Ovis aries: one gene and its partners. The protein of the gene in region 2 purifies or fractionates together with the protein of the main gene of each other region. This does not show direct contact. Links are inferred from orthologs where the notes say so. Each region holds a gene or a part of one and is shown on either strand. Other genes may lie near its edges.

What was found.
Region 1: the proteins of RELA (region 2) and TNIP2 purify together in Homo sapiens (affinity purification with mass spectrometry; 4 studies listed by BioGRID and IntAct, with this or other methods). This does not show direct contact. The link is inferred for Ovis aries from reciprocal best matches to the Homo sapiens genes RELA and TNIP2.
Region 3: the proteins of RELA (region 2) and TWIST1 purify together in Homo sapiens (affinity purification with western blotting; 3 studies listed by BioGRID and IntAct, with this or other methods). This does not show direct contact. The link is inferred for Ovis aries from reciprocal best matches to the Homo sapiens genes RELA and TWIST1.

Annotation. Positions count from the first base shown.
Region 1 is NC_056059.1:116,696,287-116,700,027, reverse strand, and holds the start of TNIP2 (TNFAIP3-interacting protein 2), read right to left. Parts: upstream 2,189-3,741; 5' UTR 2,079-2,188; coding exon 1,800-2,078; intron 1-1,799. UniProt on the Homo sapiens protein: Inhibits NF-kappa-B activation by blocking the interaction of RIPK1 with its downstream effector NEMO/IKBKG.
Region 2 is NC_056074.1:40,279,459-40,283,199, reverse strand, and holds the start of RELA (transcription factor p65), read left to right. Parts: upstream 1-893; 5' UTR 894-977; coding exon 978-984; intron 985-1,565; coding exon 1,566-1,592; intron 1,593-1,692; coding exon 1,693-1,844; intron 1,845-1,987; coding exon 1,988-2,136; intron 2,137-3,028; coding exon 3,029-3,120; intron 3,121-3,488; coding exon 3,489-3,620; intron 3,621-3,741. UniProt on the Homo sapiens protein: NF-kappa-B is a pleiotropic transcription factor present in almost all cell types and is the endpoint of a series of signal transduction events that are initiated by a vast array of stimuli related to many biological processes such as inflammation, immunity, differentiation, cell growth, tumorigenesis and apoptosis.
Region 3 is NC_056057.1:28,776,118-28,779,768, forward strand, and holds TWIST1 (twist-related protein 1), read right to left. Parts: upstream 2,753-3,651; 5' UTR 2,420-2,752; coding exon 1,817-2,419; 3' UTR 1,775-1,816; intron 1,252-1,774; 3' UTR 568-1,251; downstream 1-567. UniProt on the Homo sapiens protein: Acts as a transcriptional regulator. Inhibits myogenesis by sequestrating E proteins, inhibiting trans-activation by MEF2, and inhibiting DNA-binding by MYOD1 through physical interaction. This interaction probably involves the basic domains of both proteins.

The DNA.
Region 1 (3,741 bases), on a different chromosome or scaffold from region 2:
ACTCCACCCAGAACCCAGCAAACGCAGACGCCCTTCAGAGCCAGCACGCACAGCCCTCACCCCCAACACAGACAGGCAGACTCCCGAGACAGACACAACACGGACACACAACCCTCAGACCCACCATGAGCACACACCCATCAGACACAACACGGACACACACAACCATCAAAACCCAACATAGGAACAAACCCTTCAGGACAGACTCACAAGCCGCAGACTCCAGGCACACCGCTCAGACACCAGCATGTACAAATACACCTCACAACCAACACAAAGCGGGAAGGAGAGCGGGATGGATTCAGAGCAGCACAGACATCACTGTGTGTAGACAGACAGCCACTGTTTCACGATGGGAAGCTGCTGTATGACACAGCTCCCATTCAACGCTCTGTAACAACCTAGAGAGGGGGATGGGGTGGGGCAGGAGGCAGGGGACATAAGTGTCCCCACGGCTGACTCGCGTGACCTATGGCAGAAGCAATTATCCTCCGATTAAAAATAAACTGTAAACAAGCTAATTAAAAACAATGCAACCACACACTCCTTAGAATTCATATGGGCGCACGTAACCCTCAGACACAACACAGGCACACAGCCCTCACCACAGCCAGGGACCATCACCCTTCAGAACCCACCACGGGCGCAGACACACCCCCAGACTCTGCACAGGCGCACACACACATCTCAGACCCAGTAGGGGTAAACACACCCAGCACCCCAAACCCACACACACACCACTCAGAGCTGCTACAGACACACAGCCTCTAGAATCGATAGGAGCACCAACACCTCTCAGAACGGAGCCCGGGGAGACACAGTCCTCAGCCCCAACATGGGAGCAGATAACGAGCCTGACACACACCCGAGAGCCAGCAGCGACGCAACAACCCTCAGATCTAAGAGGCACACAACCTCTCCGAGCAGAATCCTCCAGAACCCAACACAGAAACACACACTCCTCAAAACCAGCACAGACACACGTACCCTTCAGGACCAAAATGGGCGGATCCCAACAGGGGCAAGCCTCAGAACCACACAGACACACACATCCCTCAGAAGCCAACCAGGGAGCAGACGGCTCAGCACAACCGAACGTACAAACCCTCAGAACCACACAACCCTTAAGAGGAGCGCAGATCCCATAGAGCCCACGCGCCGCGCAAGCACACCACAACATGGGCACACACACTCCTCAGAACCTTCGGGACACACAACCGCCAGACTCAGCAAAGCCACACACACCCCCCAGAAGCCAACGCACACTCACCTGAGAAATGACACGCACACACACACACACACACACAGCACGAAGCACCCAACATGGTCGCAACCACCCCTCAGACCCGACGCTGGGACAGACACGCCCCTCAGGCCCCACAGGGTAACGCCGCACACACACCAACACGCACACAGCCCTCAGACCCACCTCGACATCCATCCCATATCGTCAGAGAGGACAAACCCCTCCCAACCGACAGGGTCACACGGCCCCCAGACTAACTGGCACACACACCTCTCAGAACCTGAGGGAGCGAGACACACTCCTTCAGACGCAGCAAGGCTCAGACGCCTCAAAAGCCAGCACACGCACGCACAGCCCCTGAGCCAAGGCGCACACGCACGGCAGAGCCCGGCTCGACGCTCAGCCCTTACACCCCTCGCGGCGCGCACCGCCCAGAACCCCACACGCAGCGGCTCCGCCGCGGCAGACCACGCACGCCTCACGCCCGACGGGCACACGCGCCCCCGGGAGCCCCCGGGAAGCCCCCGGGAAGCCCGGCCCCGCCGCCCCGCACCTGGCGCAGCGCGGCCTCCGCGGCGCCGCCGTCCCGCTGCCGCAGCTGCTCCCGGAAGCGCGCCACCTGCTCCAGCAGCGCGTCCACGAGCGACGGCGCCGTGTCCCCCTCGAGCGCGGCGAGCCGGGCGCGGAGGCGCGCGATGAGGGCGTCCCGGGCCGCCAGCTGGTCTTGCAGGCGCTTCAGCCGCTGCCCCGCCTCGTGGTACAGGCCGCAAAGCGCGGCAGCCGCGCTCGGGGCGCCCTCCCGCCCCCCGGACTCCGCATCCCCGGACGACATGGCTGCGGACCCGTCCCGGAGGCGCGGACCGCCGGCAACTTCCGTGCCGGGTCTGGGCCGGGGGAGCAGTGGGGCGGCCCACCTTCCCGGAACTTTTCCCGGCGCGCCCCGCCCTCCGCGGAGATCCCGGGCCCGCCCCGCGCCGAGAGGCTGGCCCCGCCCCCCGCGGACAGCGTGCTCCCGCCCCCGCCGAGAGGCTGGCCCCGCCCCCCGCGGACAGCGTGCCCCCGCCCCCGCCGAGAGGCTGGCCCCGCCCCCCGCGGACAGCGTGCTCCCGCCCCCGCCGAGAGGCTGGCCCCGCCCCCCGCAGACGGCGTGCCCCCGCCCTCGCCGAGCCGCAAGACCCCGCCCCCACGGACAGCGTGCCCCCGCCCTCGCCGAGCCGCAAGACCCCGCCCCCACGGAGAGCCTGACCCGCCTCCCGCCGAGCCGGCAGGCCCCGCCCCGCGGGCAGCTGGGTCCCGCCCTCGCCGAGCCGCCAGGCCCCGCCCCCGAGGAGATCTGGACCCTGCCTGCCGCGCGGACCTTGGCCACGCAGGGTCCCCACCCGCCCGGGTCCTGCGGCCGCTCCACCCGCGGTTCCTGGCCTGTCCCAGCAGCCTCATCGGCTCGTGTCGCGGGAGCTTTCAGCGAGTCAGGCGCGGACAAGGAGAGGGGTCAAACGGCCTCTATTTCGCTCCTGACGGAAGGAAAAGAAGTGGCCAGAGAGACGACCCCGAGTGTTAGCCCCGAGCGTGGGCCCGGACCCCTGGGCTGCAGGCCGGCTGCCACGCCGAGCACCGGGAAAAGGGCGGCCTTCCAGGAACTGAGCCCGGCGAGGTACCCAGCCCACCAGCGAGATTCCAGAGCCCGCATCCCCTCTCCGAGGTGTAAGAACTGCTCTTAGGGTAGAAGGCAGGAGGGAGCTGGCCCTTTCCTGCCCTGTTTCTCCATCCGCTCCATCTGCCGGCTCCCAGGCCGACTCCGAGGGTTTTCCCATGGCTCCACGGCTGTTTACTTTTTCAGACTCCGAGTGTCCTCCACTGTAATGCCCAAGCACACCTGTGGTCTTTCGAAGGTTCCCTGGCACACCCTTCTCTGCCCCCGTCCCTGGGTCCCCTGAGAGCAGCGTGGCGTTTTTTCCCCCTCTACATAATCCATACCCGAGCTTGGGCTGAGCCCAGGGAAGACACTCACAAGCTGGTATAATCAGAATTATAAGTGTAGCCAGCTCACACCTCCTCCGCTGCAGAGAGGTCAAGGCTGGCTGCCCCCACCCCTCAGGTGTGTTGTGGAGACTGGGGGACGCAGTACAGGGTGCCTGTGCCCACACGCCCGCAGGCCGCGTGGTTAGGGCTCGGAGACATTCCTGTCTGTGGCACTCCTAATAGGCTATGCAACTGAAACAGTTTCAGTCGCTCTGCGGCTGCTAAGTCGCTTCAGTCGTATCTGACTCTGAGACCCCATAGACGGCAGCCCACCAGGCTCCGCCCTCAGACCTGTCCAACTCTTTACTACCCCATGGACTGTGGCCCACCAGACTCCTCTGTCCATGGGATTCTCCAGGCAAGAATGCTGGAGTAGGTTGCCATTTCCTTCTCCAGGGGATCTTCCCAATGCAAGGATTGAACCTGGGTCTCCCACATTGCAGGCAGATGCTTTACCGTCTGAGCCACTATAGCAC
Region 2 (3,741 bases):
TTTGGGAAACTTGGACCCCAGCAGGAAGCCATGGGAGGCAGGCGTGGGGAGGAGGGGCGGGTAAGGGAGTTCAAACGGAACAGAGGTGTCAGGTTGCAGAGACAAGCTCCAGAGATTTACCCCCGGGTGACTACCCCTCTCCACCCACTGGCCCCGAGGGTCGGCAGTGTGGAAGATCTTAAACCGACGAGCCTGCGGGTACTGCGCGAGCGGAAGCGGAGCGGAGCCTCTGATCACGCTGACGTGCAGCAGGCTCCGCGAAGGCCACGGTCCGAGTAGTGCCAGGTGGAGAGGTCCAGGCCACTTCTCTTTTTCCTCGTTGCATCCAGACTGGGGTGGACAGGAAATTAAAAAGTGCTTGTGCGGCAATAACCATCAAGAAGCACTCTTATTGACTAGGAAACCGTGAAGAGTTGAGCCACCTGGCCTTGGCGGGCGAAGCAGGCCGGAGCCTTTCCTGCGCGGGGCGGGCGGTCGAAGCCCGGCAGCCCTAGCTTGGCTCCAGACCGGCTCGGGGTGACATCACCAAACTCCTCCGATAGGCGGGAGGTGGCCCCCGAAATCCCCTAAAAACATAGTGAGTAATCGGAGGCCCCGCCCTCCAGGCGGGGCCCAGACTCGGGAGCGAGCCGAGCTGCCCCGCCAGCCCCGGGAGCGGCCTCCGGGAGAGCCGCCTGTCGGTGCCCCGCGCGGCGCGCACTAGCTCCGGGTCGCCGGCACAAGCAGCCTATCCACCCTGCACGCGGCCTGCCCATCCTCCGCGCAGCGCGCGTTCGCCCCTGAACCTCTCCCGGTGGCGGCGGCACCCGCAGCAGCGACGAGGGCGACGGAGACGCATCGCGCAGGCGCGGTCGGATTCCCGGCAGTGACGCGACGGCGGGCGCGCGCGGCGCATTTCCGCCTCTGGCGAATGGCTCGACAGTAGCGCGCGCCGCGGGCCCAGCTGCGACCCCGGCCCCGCCCCCGGGACCCCGGCCATGGACGGTGAGGGCGCCCCCTGACCCCGCGGGGTGGCGGCGCTGGGGCCGCGGGGATCGCGGCGGGAGGCCCCTCACCGCCTTCCGACCCTTCGTTCGCTGTTGGGCGCTGCGCAGGGAGCGGCCGGCCGGATGGTGGCGCGGGGCGGGGCGGGCATCGAGGGTTCTGACTCAGTTTCCCCCTGGGTGTGGGGTGTTGGGGGAAGCGTTAACTCAGTATCCCCCCGGGACCCGGGAGTGGGGCTTGGGCAGTTCCACCTTAGTTTCCTTGTTAGGGGAGAATGTATCTGACTCAGTTTCCTCTCGGGATGGGGGAGTGCCCTCCCTTAGTGTAACTTAAAACAGAAAAGGCCGTGACTCAGTTTCCCCTGGTGGAGGGAGGCGGCCATCTCTGGTTTCCCTCAGGAAAACGGTGCTTCTGGCTTCCTTACGCACACCCCAAGTTTCCCTGAAGGTTCCAGGTAGCAGGTCTGACTGAGTGTCCCCGAGAAGGAGCCTGGCTCCCTCTCCTCACCTCCGGGAAGCAGGCCTTCCCTGATGAGGACAGGATGTGGGCTCCTGCTGACCCTTGTCTCCCTCTCCTTTCAGACTTCTTCCCCATCATCTTCTCCGAAGGTAAGTGGCCCATCCTTTCTCAGTGGGTCGGGAGGAGCTCCCCAGGGTCAGGGGCGATGGGGTCAGTGGCTGATGGGCCTGGCCCGCGTGTCCCCTGCAGAGCCTGTGCAGGCCTCTGGCCCCTATGTGGAGATCATTGAGCAGCCCAAGCAGCGGGGCATGCGCTTCCGCTACAAGTGCGAGGGCCGCTCAGCCGGCAGCATCCCTGGCGAGAGGAGCACAGACACCACCAAGACCCACCCCACTATCAAGGTCAGCAGAGCCCCAGGGCGGGGGACCCAGAGTCAGTAGGGCTGGGACTTGCTTTCAGCCCCCACCCCCCCATCCCGAAATCTGTGTCTGGGAGTTGGGTCTGGAATTCCAGCCCTCTAGGGTGCTCTCTGTACTTTGGACAGATCAATGGCTACACGGGGCCAGGGACAGTCCGCATCTCCCTGGTCACCAAGGACCCTCCTCACCGGCCTCACCCTCACGAGCTAGTGGGGAAAGACTGCCGGGATGGCTTCTATGAGGCTGAGCTCTGCCCGGACCGCTGCATCCACAGGTGAGCTCCTTAGGGGTGGCAGGGGGTGGAAGAAGGTGGTGATGAGATGGGAATCGGAAAAGCAGGCAAGTTATATTGCTGTTACAATGTTAATCGTTTCTGGACAGAGGGCAGAATTCCTCACTGCTTGCTCCCTCTCCAGCTTTGCAAGCTGATTCTTTTGTTTTGAAATTGTCTGTGTGTCTCCTCTCTCCAGTGGATAGGAGGAGCACCCTGTGAGTTCTATGGCAAAGGTGTGGGTCCCTAATCACCCCTGAACCCCTAACCCCTGGGGCTGGAGTGTCACATCTCTTGTAGTCAGAATGAAAGCCATTGAACCAACGGTCTCCCCTGAAGCTTATGTACTGGTTGACAGAGGCAGACCATAAATAAATGTACAAATAACTGAACAAGATACTGTTAGAAATCACCATTTCAGTGATGAAAATGAAGCAGTAATAGGTTGGAAGAATAGCCTGAGGTGGCAGGGAGTGAAGGAGCTGGTCCCACTCCTTTGGGCTGGGACGTCAGAAAGGCTTCTCGAAAGTAAGACCTAAATGTGAGAAAGTAGAGAAGCAGGGAAGGAACATGCCCAGCAGAATGAACAGGTGCAAAAGGCTTTGAAATACGAATGAGTGTCATGTCTTTGGAGAGGGTAAAAGAAAGCCCTGGGGCAGAGGGTAGGGAGCTGGCAGGGACTGTGGCTGGGGCCAGGCGGCAGGGCACAGGGCCTTGTCAGCCAAAGTAAGGAGTCGCTTTCAGTGTGGCACAGTTGGGTGGGGTGGCATTTAAGGGGGTTAAGAATAGAATGATTACCTGGTGAGTGGGGGAGGGGATAAGGGGCAGAGTGGGTAAGGCAGGAGGGCCCAGGCTCTGCTGGAGACAGTGGAGCTTATGCCTCGGGGGGCCTCAGCTTTCAGAACCTGGGGATCCAGTGTGTAAAGAAGCGGGACTTGGAGCAGGCCATCAGCCAGCGCATCCAGACCAACAACAACCCCTTCCAAGGTGAGGGCGGCCACGGTGGAGGCTTGGGCCTGCCTGGAGCACCTCCAGCTGCTGTACCCTTCTGAGGCCACCTTCCCGTCACGTGTCCCTCACCGGCCAAGATGCGGTGCCCATTCATTACATACACCTGTTCAGTACATTCTACCATTGGAGAAACAGACTGAGAGCAGGGGTGTAGGGGACAGGACATTCAGGGTCACAGGTGGAGTCAGTGATGGGTCTAGAACATTCCCACCACCCTCTTCTAGGACTCCTGCTATTTCACACACCTTCCAACAGCCCTCCCAGCCCAGAGCTACCCGCACACCCTGCTCCGCCCCAGCCCCACCCCCAGCCCAGGCTCTCCTGACCATCGGTTTTTCTGACAGTTCCCATAGAAGAGCAGCGTGGGGACTACGACCTGAATGCCGTGCGGCTCTGCTTCCAGGTGACAGTGCGGGACCCGGCAGGCAGGCCCCTCCGCCTGGCGCCTGTCCTCTCTCATCCCATCTTTGACAACCGTGAGTGGTCAGGGAGCCGCATGAAGGGGAGGGGGGTGGGCCTGTGAGGAGGAAAGGAGAGGTGGGGAGGGGTGACCTGCAAGAGTCGCTCTGACTTCGTCCAGTCACCCAACGTATCAGT
Region 3 (3,651 bases), on a different chromosome or scaffold from region 2:
CAACATTAAATGTCATTCTTGTTTGTGAGACAAAGTTAAGCAAAGTATAAGTGGAATCCTCTTTCATGTGGAATTAAACTTTATTTTCTATACATTTGTAGTCATTTACATGTGTGTATACACATCTATCTATAGATAGGTAATTTTGGTAACACTTTATGCATACTTTCACTGAAATAAACCTATTACTTAAAAATCCTCATAAAGTGTGGAGAGTATGACAAAAACACACAGTAACAAGAGAAAATAGTGCTGACTTCCACTGCTTATTTGCTTAACTGTTTTACAACTGCATTCTCAAAATATAAGCAAGAGAGGTGAATAACTTAAGTTTTTGCTGTCTGGGGACCTGATAAGAGATGAAGGAGAGATGCTAAGTTCACTGAACACCAAATGGGAATAATGAATCTTTCTACATAACATGCCCCACCTGTCAATAACTAGTTTGAGTTTTTCACTGCTTTGTTTATATTAATGCCCTCTCACCCTCCTGGGTGTCTCCAGAGTTAAACAAGCAGGTATTTACTGCCAACTTAGTCCTTTAAAAATATAGACCAAACTTTAAGGTTCTTACAATTTTCAATCATATTTATTTATTGCAGAAAAATAATGTACAAAGATATTTACAAAACAATCATAAAAATATGAATGCATTTAGACACCGGATCTATTTGCATTTTACCGTGGGTCATCAATAAATAAATAGAATGTTGTTTTTTGTTATTTTAAGTTTTTTTTTTTTCCCTCAGAGGAAGAATGAAAAAAGGAATTAACTGACTGTGATTTTGTGAGTCAGTTTGATTCCAGTATTTTTATTTCTAAAGGTGTTCTTAAAATTCCTCTGATCGTTACCATTTTAAAATGGAGAAAGTCCATAATGATGCCTTTCCTTTCAGTGGCTGATTGGCACGACCTCTTGAGAATGCATGCATGAAAAAATAAAAACATTCTTCGTCAAAAAAAAAAAAAACCAAAAAATAAAAAAAAAAAAGAGGAGGAACACAAACAACTGTTCAAACTTCTATCAGAATGTAGAGGTGTGAGGATGGTGCCGCTGCCCGTCTGGAAATCACTGTCCACGGGCCTGTCTCGCTTTCTCTTTTAAAAGTGCGCCCCACGCCCTGTTTCTTTGAATTTGGGTTCTGCTCTTCTAATTTCCAAGAAAATGTTTGGCAAATATATTTATTTTTAGTTATCCAGCTCCAGAGTCTCTAGACTGTCCATTTTCTCCTTCTCTGGAAACAATGACATCTGCAAAAACCCAGAGGGGGGGAAAGTTGGTTATTGTTTAGGTCTCTGTGGCTGTTTTGTAAAACTAGTGAGCACGGTTCTTATCACCACCACGGAGAAATTGCGCTGAACAACCTGGAAGGATTTCAGCCCAAGGGCAAGAGGAAGTGGGTGGGCGGAAAGACGGAGGAGGTGGAATTTGGAAACATTTGTTTTAAGGAGAACGAAAACTTAAAAGCCAAAAGAAAGAGAGGCGCTGGCAAGGCTGTCCTTACCCGTGACCCTCGAATCTTTTTCAGTCTTCCCTCCTGTCACGCACACTCACGCACACGCACACCCCTCACCAGGGCGCATCCTCCTCTCCCTAGCGGGGACTGAGCTCCCTTCCAGGAACGCGCGGGGGGATGAGGTGGCGGTGCCAGGTTGGGTGTGAAAGGGGAGTGGGAGACGGGGAGGAAGGCCAGGTGGACCGGGAGCCGCACCCCAGCCTTCAATCTGTCTGCCACCTGAGCGGCGACGGGGCGCAGAGGCGCCGGGTCCTTACCTAGGTCTCCGGCCCTGCCGAGGGGGTGGGGAGCTCCGCCTGCTAGTGGGACGCGGACATGGACCAGGCCCCCTCCATCCTCCAGACCGAGAAGGCGTAGCTGAGCCGCTCGTGGGCCACATAGCTGCAGCTTGCCATCTTGGAGTCCAGCTCGTCGCTCTGTAGGACCTGGTAGAGGAAGTCGATGTACCTGGCCGCCAACTTGAGGGTCTGGATCTTGCTCAGCTTGTCAGAGGGCAGCGTGGGGATGATCTTCCGCAGCGCGGCGAACGCCTCGTTCAGTGACTGCGTGCGCTGGCGCTCCCGCACGTTGGCCATGACCCGCTGCGTCTGCAGCTCCTCGTAGGACTGCGGACTCCCGCCGCCGCTGCTGCTGCCGCCGCCGCCCGCGCCGCCGCCGCCGCAGCCCGCAGACTTCTTGCCACGCTTGCCTTGGGCCGGGCTGCCAGGCTCCTCGCCGCCTCCGACGCCCCCGCCCGCGGCCCCGCCGGGCCCCGCGCCGCCCCCCGCGCTGCGCCGGCTGCTGCGCCGCTTGCGCCCCCCGCGCTTGCCGCTCGGGGGCTGCTGCCGGTCCGGCTCCTCCTCGCTGTTGCTCAGGCTGTCGTCGGCCGGCGAGACTGGCGAGCTGGACACGTCCTGCATCATCTCTTGGGCGGCGACGTGCGGCCTCGCGGGCCCGGGGCAGAAGGGCGGCCCGGGGAAGAGGAGGAGAGCGGGGCGCCTCAGCCCGCCAGCTTCCCCCGCGCGCGGCGCCGGCCCGGGCGGTGCGGCCCGCGGAGGAGGGAGCGGGAGGAGGGACAGGGAGGATCTCCGCGGGGAGGGCGCGCGGGGGAGGCGGGGAGGAAGGCGGGAGGGGGAGGGGACGGTGTGGATGGCCCCGAGGTCCAAAAAGAAGGCGCCCAACGGCCGCACGCACACCCCGCTCGGCCTCCTGGAAACGATGCCGGTGTCGGCGAGCCCGCGAGGTGTCTGGGAGCTGGGCGAAAGCTGCAGGCTTGGAGGCTCTTATACCTCCCGTGCAAGCGGAAAGTTTGGGGGCAGCAGTGTCATTGGCCTGACGTGGGGAGGAGGGACTTTTCGAAGTTTTATAGGAAAGTTTCCGCTTTCCAGCCCCCCTTTCTCCGTCCCCACCCCCCTTCCTCGGGGTCTAACAATTCGTCCTCCCAAACCATTCAAAAACGACCTGGCCCAGGCGGCCGGCCCCTCTGCCCGCCTCCTTGCTGCCCTCCCCCTTTCTTCCCCGCCGCCCTCCGCCCGCGGGCGCGGGGCGATTTCCTTCCGCGCCGAAGCGCGCGGGCCGCACCCCCGCACCCGGGCGCAGCCCGGGGAAGCGACCGGAGGGGACGGTCCCCGCCGCCTTGTCGGTCCCTCCTGGAGCGGCTGTGACAGCAGCGGCGACAACAGTTTCTACACAGTGGGTGGAAGTCTCAGCTCGCCCCAGTACGCTTTAGGTCCGTGGCGCGGTTTGGGATTGCTGGGGCGGGGGTTCTGGCAAGAATACCTGCGACAGCTGAGCCCACCCGATGGTCAGGTAAACCAGGCCCTGGAGTCCCAAGGGCCAAAACACCGTGGCTGGTCCTGAGGTCGTGGGCGTTTCTGAAGACGTGGCCGCGCCAGGGACTGTAGATCTGCTCCTCGGCCTGTTCTCTCATCCTTCCTCGAGAAGCAGCTGGGCCTTTCTTTTCCCTCCACAGTGACCCAATCTGACGTTTCCCAACACCCAAAGGACTACACCTCCGAAGGTGCTAGAAAAATGCAGAAGTTCATTCCCCCGAAGAAGGCAGTCCTGTTCTTGGAGAAGGCAGCAGGGCAGGAGGTGGCAGCGCAGTGTCTTCGCCGCGGCCCTGATTGCCTGTGCTGCTAGCCCAAGGTGGAGT